Linked DNA regions of Coturnix japonica. The protein of the gene in region 3 purifies or fractionates together with the protein of the main gene of each other region. This does not show direct contact. Links are inferred from orthologs where the notes say so. Each region holds a gene or a part of one and is shown on either strand. Other genes may lie near its edges. The genes, in order: GSK3B, PRKAR1A and AKAP11.

Region 1 (3,654 bases), about 77 Mb from region 3:
AAGCTGTGGAACTGTAGCATGCTTATCTAAATCAAACCTGCAGTTCAGGGTTGCGGTAATTTCAACCAGTACTGCTGCAAGAAGGTATTGTGATCAAGGCAATGCAGATAAAGATTTCAATATAATTACGTGAACAGAGCAGTGATACCAAATAATTTATAGGAGACAATTCTGGTTCACGTTAGCTGGGGAAACAGCTCTCTTTCTCCTGATCAAATCTTGACACCTACAGCCACTCTGCATCTCCAATAAGGAACTACAATAAAAATATCCAGTTGTACCAGAACACCAGATTATCTTCATTCCCCAAACACAATAAAATGCCTTGCACTGGGAAATGATGATACTGAGAGCACCGAGCTGTTTAATATTTCAGCGCTCCAAGAATGCCTCGGAGGAATTAGTTTTGTACCATTTACTTGGTCACAGTAACAAACTTTCTGTGTAACAAGCTTATAGAGCAGTTTCTCTTCAGAGCAGAAGAGTGCTGGAATCAACACAGGTTTCATACTCCTCTTTCTGTACCTCATCACTGAGCATACCCTAAACAGAAATATCATTTCTAGGTGACACTAGGTCACACAAAGGATTTCTGGACACGCTGAGACTGAGCCTGGACAGAAATCAAGTCTTCCTTTAAAATTAGTTTTATTTTTAAAGAAAAGACAAAAACCCTTTTTATAATTAAAGGTCACAAGTCATATTTTTTTTTCTGATTGAAAAACTCCAGGCATAAAAGCGCTTGTCATCAAAGAGCAATGACAGCCGCTTTTATGTGCTGAATCACAGCAGTCTTCAATGGCCAACTAATATGGACAGATAGCAACATTTGTGACCCAGCAGAATCACTGAGAAGCTCTAAGAAGTTTAGTAAATGGCAATCACTTTACAGGATGTTTGAAAAATTCATCTTCTAAGAGAAAAAACAAAATGCTTTCAGTGCTTTCTGTCTTGCAGGTCTAGGAGTCACTGAACTGCAGCACTGGCTACTACAGATGCTTTGTTGGGCATGATCATTTTTTTTTTTAAGTCCTAATTAGCACATATTATTTGTTCTTATACTAAGAAAAATAGAGACAAGACAGTAAGAATGATCAGATAAAGCTCTCTTAACAGCTCTCATCTCTACAGTAGGCATGCACACTCCTCAGAACCACTGCTGGCAGCCAAAGACCACGATCTTTATCTGCCATATACACTCCATGCTTTCTCTTAGACCACTGCCTATGTCAGCAGATTTGGTATGATGCCTATGTTCTTTCTGAAAATCAATTCAGTACAGTAACCACCAGATCCATATTGTTATTTCTAACAGCTTTGTTTTCAAGCCCTCTCCACCTCCTACTCCATGGGTTTCGGTCAACTGGCCATAGCCAAATAAAACACTTCCTTTAAGATTTAATACTGTCTGTTGAAAACAAATGTCATACAAAACAAAAGGATATCTTTCACTGCTTTCAGAATTACCAGAGGTGACACGAGTTATCAACATATCTGATTTCTAAAGTCCTGATCTGTTTCCCAAATGTGATTTCTGCTTTGGATTAGTCACTCTGATGGGGCCACTGATGACAACACATTGCCACAGGAGCAGCAGAAGCTCTTTGCGTATCCTCAGGTCATAAGTAGTAATGCTGCTAGACAGGACCTATTACTGCACATTTATTAACTAATGTCTTAAAAGCACTTTATTTGCTTATTCTTCAAATTCTGTGGGGTTTTTTTTTTGTTGGTTTTTGGATATTTTTTGGCTTGTGAGAAGCAACACGGCTCATCTGGAAATGTATTAATGGCCAACCTCTCTCCTGCATTCTCTTTCTAGACGCTAACACTGGTACCTGTCAGTGACAGAAAACTGCTTTTTTGAATCTTAAGCATTTTTTCTCCCTGGAAGCAATTTCTCCTGCCATCCCCAAGAGTCACTGTGAGAGCACATCAACTCTCTAGGATGGCAAAGGAGGGGTTTACTTGAGGATTAAATTACTCAGCAGTTTCCACACTGCCTGGGGGAAACCAGGGACAAACTCCCAACATGTGTATTTATTTTTTCTCTAAGGATTTTTTAAAAGTACTTAGTACAGATCTTTCCAATCCTTTTTTAAACCCTTGTTTTCATGTAGTAGATTTACGTTCTGCAAGGCAGCCATTCAGAACAAGTTCATTGCTCGGGCACATTTCAGCAGATGGACATCACATGCACTAATTTCTGATTTACTGTGTCAGTATGATACCAGATAAACTCTACAGTACATAAAACCTGGACAGTGACACTCCTGCATTTATCTCACATCCAAAACCAACATATGCAGCAACACTACAAACTTCCCTGCCAACCTTAATATCCACTGCTCCTCAACATGGCACTGCAGGAATGGAGGAACAGGGACATCTCCAAAAGGAAAAGCCAATCTCCATGGTCACTGAGCATGGTACTCCACACATACACATCATCTAGACTGCAGACACTGAACTGCAAAGGTAAGCCTTTTGATTTTTAACTTTTGAGAGTGCGATGTGTGCATCACAGCAAACATTTATCCCAGCAGGGATCCTCAATGCCTGCAGGCTACCTTGAGTGGTGAAATTGAAGAGTGCAGGTTTCTCTCGCCCGTTTGGTAACTTGACATTTGGGTCCCGTAGTTCATCGAAGAAAGAGTGCGCACAGGCCTCCAGGGGAGTCAGGCGGGCAGTGGGGGTATACTCCAGCAGACGGCTACATAGCGCAATTGCTTCTGGTGGAGTGCGGGGCCGGAAGACCTGCAAAAAGCAAGCAAGGAGAAACAGGTTGTCTGGGTACGTCCCTTCCCTTTGCTGAGCAGCAGTAAGCCAGAGCAATTAAACCTCTCGTTGCCCAACGCGCTGGAACAAACTTGTGTTTGTAGTAATCAACGTCCTCCAGCGAGGATGGGAAAATCCAGTTCCTGGGGTTGAGAAAGGGTTAATTGCCAAGCTTTGCACTCAAGTGAAGGAGCAATGCCAGCAAGAGACTTCATGGGAGCGCACTCAGAGAAACAACTTCAAGAATGAAGGGGGGACTCATTCAAAAGTCATGACAAAAACACACAGGTGCTACCAGCCATGCACATGGGGTGGAGTGAAGGTGGGGAGAAAGGGTTCAAATGAGCAGGATTCACTGAATGCAAAAATTGAATAGGGCCCCACTATTTTTTTTTTCTTTTTCTCTTTTCATTTTTCTTTTTACTTTTTGCTAGTGAATGAAGTCTTACTAACATGGACCTTTGCAGGCAGTAGGTCAGATTGTTGCTATGGAGGCTGCTGTTCAACTTTGGAGAACAACAAGGGAAGCGAGGGTGGGGTGCAGGAAATGTCTAGCTCTAACTTGCAGGTTTCTCCTTCCTTAACCTTATTCTGGCAAGTCATTCCTATAATGGGATAACTCTTGCACATCTGGTATTTCTAAGGCTGAAAGCTGTGTCAAGAAAACCAACTATTCTATTCTAAAAGACTTTTACCCGGGCTGATGACAACACAAAGCTCACAGCAGTTCCTCACTGCAGCTTTGTGTTAAAGCTCTAAGAACAGCTATAAACACACTTAAAAATGCTCCCATCCTCCTCTCTTCTTACATAACAAACAAAATAGAAGGTTATCATGTAGGTGACCTGGATGGCCTCTCACTATGTTGAACTATGA
Region 2 (3,654 bases), on a different chromosome or scaffold from region 3:
TATTATAATCCAAGAATGCCCTGTGAGCAAACATGTCCAATCCTTACCTGTGACCAAATAAATCAGTGTGCACTAGGAACTTAGATTTCTTTTTCCTGCTAGCACACATAGGCTTTTTCAAGCCAAAGCAACTTCATCACCACAGGTTAGACGCTGACAGTAGTATATGACACCACTGTTGTCACTACAGAACTTACCAAAATAATCAGAAGGTGCCAGTCTACCCACTTCAACAAATTCTTCATTTTCTGATCGACGCTGTAACACTGCAGCTGTGCCCTTTAATTAACCACAGCAATTAAACAATTAGAATTTCTGCTATCACTTAAATTACCAAATTCCAGAATCAGTTGCTTTGCAGAAATAACTTATGTCAGTCTTTAAAAACTGCTTCACAGTTCATGCATAGTTCACCAGACTGCTCTATAAGAACAACTCACCTTCCTTCTTCTTTAAGTTTAAAACATCCTGGCTGTATACTTTCCATACAGCATCGATCTCTTCCCATTTTTCTTACACCAATATTACAGTACAGTTTGCAAAAAGAGATAACAATACCACTATAGCAGGATATTACTATGTGTATCTATATATTACTATTTAGTAATGTGTGTTTTTACTCTCCTGAACAGAATGAACTGGTTTAAGTCAGAAACATTATTTTTTCCTGGAATTACCATTTATAAAAATAGCAAAACTAAATATAAGCTGCTGCGTGTCCAGCAAGATAACATCTCATGAGGAATTCTCTAAAAGTACATTCCAACATTTCATTTTTCTCTCAGCATCTATTTAAGGGCAGAATAAACAACACTGAAAACATAGACAAACTTATGAGGCTTTGATTTTAGTCCTACTTACCTCCAAGATAATGAAGAACTCATCCCCTGGCTCTCCCTGGACCACAATCTTTTGCCCGTCCTCAAACTGTACCGGTTCTAATGCATCAGCTACAGTAAGGCGCTCCCACTTGTCCAGAGATTCTATGAAGTTAAGAGTTCATTAATAGGTTGTCTTTTTGAGGTACAAACCACACTCTTTCCTCTATCCTTATAGGCAGAACAACATATTTACAGCTGCAGTTGGGCACTGCATATCAAGACTTTAATTACAATTATTTCTGAATGATGCAGAAAAGCAACACAGACGTTGCAGTCCATTTAACACATTACCACAATAGCCTGACGTGTAATCATAATAGTGCTGAGTAACAGCTTAATTGCAATACAGCAATTTATTCCCCTTTGGAACAACATCTTTGTACTTACCCAATATAGACACCTTACTGAGGAATTCCTCATACATCTTTCTCTTTCTCAAAGTACTTCCCTATGGAAAAAGAAATAAAAAGCACACAATGAAACAACAACAAATAACTGCAGGTTAGCAGACAGCTACTTGCGTCACTGAAACCACACACCAGTTAGACAAATACTTGCCATCAAAATCCTTCTGTAGCTATCTCTGTCAATGCCCCACAACTTCACGTTTGTCTTCGCTTTGACAGTTGCTGCACGGGGAGTTCCATATATAAGGGCAAGCTCTCCAAAGCTTCCACCTTCACCAACACTGGTTGCCCACTCATTGTTCACATAAACCTGAAAGCCAAAGCCCACGGTGTTTGTAAGGCTGGTCAAAGATATGCGACGCTCCCACTACCCCGCATTTCCTTTATAACATAGGGAAATTCTTTCATCTACATAGTCAAAGTGATCATTTCAGGATTTCATTTACGCTTCACACCCAAGCCCAAACTCCATCACAAGTTTTATTTCCATTGACAGTGGGTCTGCTGATCACATCATGTGCACAGAGACTAGAAATGCAGACCCCACAGACCCTTGGATAGGAAAAAAACCTTAATAAGCCTCTATGAAACACAAAGGACTTGAATGGACTTCCAAGAAGCTGTCAAAAAAATTCCATAGAAAGCTATGGATTATTTGGATTAGAAAATAAAAAGGTCTGTCATTCTTAAACACTTTACCCAGACTCCAAACTTGTCAAGTATTAGTACTTAATTAACATCTGAATAATTCATTTTAAAGTTAAACACAATTCACAGCCTGTGCAGTCAAACTGAAGTATCAAAGAGCAAAATAGCTCCAAAGCAAAATTAGCTTCTACAAGTTCCAACTTCTTAAGAGAAAAGCTAATAAAGGATGTGTAAGTGAGGCCTGAGAACACCATGCTACTCTTCTGCTAGGGACTGAATGCATCATTAATAAGCTACCAATAATGCTTACATCCATTTCTCCTTGATCAACAACGTAGAAATTATCACCTTCATCCCCTAAAAACAGGAAAAAAAAATTAATATACACAAAAGGTACAGTGAGGCAAACAAACTTGTACAAAACCAACATCTCTGCCAGCTTTGATGTGCAGAATATAATGAGGTTGACAGAGACATTCTGCACAGCTGGGAGGGGGAATATCATTTTATTCCACACTTTTTAGTCATTTGAAAGATGACATCTACTGGCATTCAGTACATCAGCCACACTTCCAAGAACGATGGAAAGGCATACTGGATCCAAAAGTTGTCCTGAAGTATTTTGCAGAGTCATTAAATCACAATCTTTCCAACAAATAACATGTGAGGAAACACTATTATTCCCACAATTGCTTCTCTCCTTACTTCAGAGCATGAGCTGTGCTTCAGTTAATGTGACAAGAAAGGTTTGTCACACCCAGGCAGGGTTTTAACTTCCAAAGAAGCACAGTAACAAGAGCATTAGGTCAGGGCCTGCTCACCATCCCACACATTTATCAATGTCAGTAATGTCACTTGCCTTGCTGTATGACAGTCTCGCCTGCAATGTAAGTGACGGGAAACATTGCATCAAAGATGTCACTGAAAAAAGGATACCAAAATTAGACAACTGCAACACACACACAGCCACCTCATCTAGTGAAAGGTGTCCCTGCCCACAGCTGAAGGGTTAGAACCAGATGATCTTTAAAGGTCCCTTCCAATCCCAGCTATTCCGTGATACTGTGCATGCATTCGCACACCTCCAACCTCAACCAACCAACTTTTCCTGTAATCTCTTTACATTTACACTGACTGTTTGTAAACAGGCTGTGCAACTTTGTATTTTACTATACAAATGGAAAGTTAAATGCAACTTGTAACTTTTAACTTAGCATTATACTATACTTTTAAGACTTCGACAAAGATTTATTCCTACCTTCTCTCATTATCATCAAGATGGGCAAACAGCACATTCTTCTCAATAGCTTTTGCCAATGCAGCCATAGTTTTATAATCTTTTGGAATAACCTAGGATTAAAAAAAAAAAAAAATCAGAAAAAGTAACTGACTCAATTTCTAAAGAGAATCTTCTGAACTATCCAGGACTAACAAATGACTCACACTGCTACAAAACTCAAGTATTTTCGGGTTCTTTTAAGCACTGTAGTTCTAAGACACAAATACAGTCAACTTCTACAGCCAGTTTATTCAGAAGGTAAATAAAACATTGAATTTATGCAACTGTAAAAACCACAATTCCATGTTAAGTCCGTAGTGTCTTTTCACAATTGCAAGTATATGTTCAACTAATTTCTCAATGAATAGCAGCAAATCTGCTCCACCTCTGGGTTAAACTTAATACTGCTGCATCCGTTAGAAGTACTCTGTGTGCATGA
Region 3 (2,897 bases):
CAGACTGAAAAAGAAGAAAGGAAAATGTGGGGAGAGGGAGAAAAAAATAGGAAGAAAAATTTGTATATCCCTTTACATTTACTAATTACCAGACCCATCTTCCACATATAGAAATAATAATAGTTTTTTTCTCCCCTCTTTGCACTCTAGAGAAAGCTGATTCCTGTAACTTTGCATTGTATCACCTATAAAGGAGCAAAAGAGCCTGTAGTGGTTTTTTGGTCTTTGTCATGCGATCTTTCAATCAGCAAAATGGTAAGTCGCACGAGGTAATAAACTATGACAATAACACAATTTTAAGTTAGCAATAAGGATTCATGTTGTAAATTCATATAGGTGAGAACTAATACATAATACAGATACATCAACATATGTACTTCTATGTGCATGCACATGTGTGAACACACATTTGCATATATAAACCTAACTCAGTTGGACTGGTAAACTCTGAGATCCAAGACAGGGTCCCTTTAGAAAACCAGATGACAAATGAAAACTAAAATAAACCAGGTCTCTGTAAGAAGACTTACACTGACTAGTGGAATGCCTTCCTGACACACAAAGACATTGCAAGAAAAGTGCTCTTACCAGTGTGACACTTTATAGTAATTCAGGACACAAGGAATCAGAAATGTACATATTGCACTATAACTTGTGAACAGATTTAAAGACATCAGTTTTTTTCCATTTGGGATCATACCCTGAAATGCACAACATACCAACAATGTGCTTTTCCATAACAAAGCCATTAAGATTCTTTTGTTTGCCCAAACTAAGTGAAACATCACAATTTGCTTTCAAGTGATATGAAGCTGAAGGTGGCAGCCTTGTAATTACGAGCAAGTGCCTTTTTCTAAAAAAGAATGTATAAAAACAAAAAAGCAAACCCCAAAAGAATAGGATATGTAAAGATCCAGATATTCCTTCAGACAGAATGGCAAGTCAGCAGTACTGGTAAGAAACATGACTAGATCGCTAAAAAGACTTGATTAAAAGTGCCTTTAAAAATATTCAGCAAAGGTAGTTAAGAAAAATGAAAAATCAATTTGCAATAAATTTCTCCTTTAAATTTAAATTAGCTTTCCTTGTTAACACTTAAGTGCTCAGCAAGTAACAAAATTCTCTTTATTACTAAAAACAAAACTCATGTATGGAAGGTAAGAAGTAAAGAATTAGACTGGTCAAAAAGATGGCCACAATTCTTGGAGAAAGAAGATTCCATCTGCTATTTTGTATGTGAAACTCTCCCAGCTTTGGCTTGGATTACTTTTCTTCACAAAGGTTTGTATGGTGGTATGTTTTAGACTTGTGATGGAAATGATATAACACACTGATATTTTAGTTGCTGCAGAGCAGTGCTAATGGAACTGCAGATTTCAGCTTCTCAAGATGACCTGTCAGTGAGGAGCTGAGGGACACAAGATGCTGACGAGGGACACAACCAGGACAGTTGATAAAGATTAACCAAAGAGATATTCTACACTATGTGGTGTTGTGTACAGCAAAAAAAAATGGCAGGGAGGGTGGCATTTGGAGTCATGGTGGTTGTCTTCCCAAGCACCCATTACATATGAGGGAGTCCTGATTTTGCTTTGCTTGCAAGTGCAGCTTTTGCTGCACTTGTCTTTATCTCAAGCCATGAGTTCTCACACTTCGACCTTTCCAGTTCTCTTTGTCACTATGCTGTGAGGGGCAGTGAACAAGTAGCTGAGTGGTGCTGAGCTGCTGCTGGGATTAACCATAACAAAGACTAACATACAAATTCTTCAGACATAAAATCAATACTACACAAGTATTTTGATACAAGAACTTCAGTAAGAAATTTAGCAATTTAAACTTGACTGGCAAACTTCAGGAAACTTTGCTTAAGTTTTTAAGAAGCTCAGCTGCCCAGTCTGTCCTTCCAGAACTTACCAGATCTACAATCAACAAAAGGGAACAAGTATTTGCACTTTAATTTCAGAGCAGACTCTCACGTCTCCGAAAATTCAAATTGAGAAAGGCAGCTATGAAGGCAGACTTCACTAAGGGTCTGCCTGGGCAAGTCCTTTTTATCCACTCCTGATATTTCTGCCCTTGTGCACCTAACACCTGGCCAAGATTGATAATTCTGGAAAATCCTGCTGCAGACCATGAGAAGAGGTTTTTCCAGAACCTAAGTGTTCATAGTCGCACCATGAATACAGAACAGGCACAAATGGGAAAGAGCAATCCTGGTGCAGTGGGAATCCTCACTATCCTGCCTGAGACTGCCTCCTCTGAACTACTATCACAGACAAGGTACTTTTTCATAACTATCTCAACGGTCTGAACACAGCAGTAAATACAAGTTATGCATGGGTGGGCAATGTTGATTATGGACTGAATAAACATACCATGTGCACAGTATCACAAAGCACAGCACAGATACTTAGACTTTCACCTCAGTCTTTTAAATGCTGACAATTACTTGAACATTCATTAATCAAATTTTACATTATATATCTACGTTCTTCCCATCTCCTTTTAAAAGAGGAATGAAGCGAAGAGTGGTGCATCTTTGGACTATTTCAGACGTTATCCAGAAGCCACTCAACCAAAGACTTATTAAGGGTTTGCTCTCCATCGGATGCCTTCTCTATCATTTCACAGTACTTCAATACTGCTTGCAAGAGATCTCCCACTTTCCAATCTCTTTCTCGCAGTCTTCTGGAAAGCTAAAGGGGATACAAGGGAAACACAAAACAAAATATTTTGACCAGCACATCCTGATTAACAGTTACAGAAGTTATTCTTGAAACATTAGCTCATAAAAGATCAGTTGTAACAAGTTAATCATGATTCCCACATCTACAAAAACAAAAACTTCCTCAAGGATCAAGCGCTTTTCACAACAGTTTCTTCTGGAGGGAGTGACA

What was found.
Region 1: the proteins of AKAP11 (region 3) and GSK3B purify together in Homo sapiens (affinity purification with mass spectrometry; 4 studies listed by BioGRID and IntAct, with this or other methods). This does not show direct contact. The link is inferred for Coturnix japonica from reciprocal best matches to the Homo sapiens genes AKAP11 and GSK3B.
Region 2: the proteins of AKAP11 (region 3) and PRKAR1A purify together in Homo sapiens (affinity purification with mass spectrometry; 3 studies listed by BioGRID and IntAct, counting the BioPlex papers as one, with this or other methods). This does not show direct contact. The link is inferred for Coturnix japonica from reciprocal best matches to the Homo sapiens genes AKAP11 and PRKAR1A.

What each region holds. Positions count from the first base shown.
Region 1 is NC_029516.1:71,756,515-71,760,168, reverse strand, and holds part of GSK3B (glycogen synthase kinase-3 beta), read right to left. Parts: intron 2,758-3,654; coding exon 2,571-2,757; intron 1-2,570. UniProt on the Homo sapiens protein: Constitutively active protein kinase that acts as a negative regulator in the hormonal control of glucose homeostasis, Wnt signaling and regulation of transcription factors and microtubules, by phosphorylating and inactivating glycogen synthase (GYS1 or GYS2), EIF2B, CTNNB1/beta-catenin, APC, AXIN1, DPYSL2/CRMP2, JUN, NFATC1/NFATC, MAPT/TAU and MACF1.
Region 2 is NC_029533.1:6,395,073-6,398,726, forward strand, and holds part of PRKAR1A (cAMP-dependent protein kinase type I-alpha regulatory subunit), read right to left. Parts: intron 3,287-3,654; coding exon 3,195-3,286; intron 2,858-3,194; coding exon 2,796-2,857; intron 2,294-2,795; coding exon 2,247-2,293; intron 1,599-2,246; coding exon 1,440-1,598; intron 1,330-1,439; coding exon 1,269-1,329; intron 984-1,268; coding exon 862-983; intron 280-861; coding exon 198-279; intron 1-197. UniProt on the Homo sapiens protein: Regulatory subunit of the cAMP-dependent protein kinases involved in cAMP signaling in cells.
Region 3 is NC_029516.1:148,946,444-148,949,340, reverse strand, and holds part of AKAP11 (A-kinase anchor protein 11), read right to left. Parts: exon of another isoform or gene 2,709-2,897; intron 2,697-2,708; coding exon 2,550-2,696; 3' UTR 1-2,549. UniProt on the Homo sapiens protein: Binds to type II regulatory subunits of protein kinase A and anchors/targets them.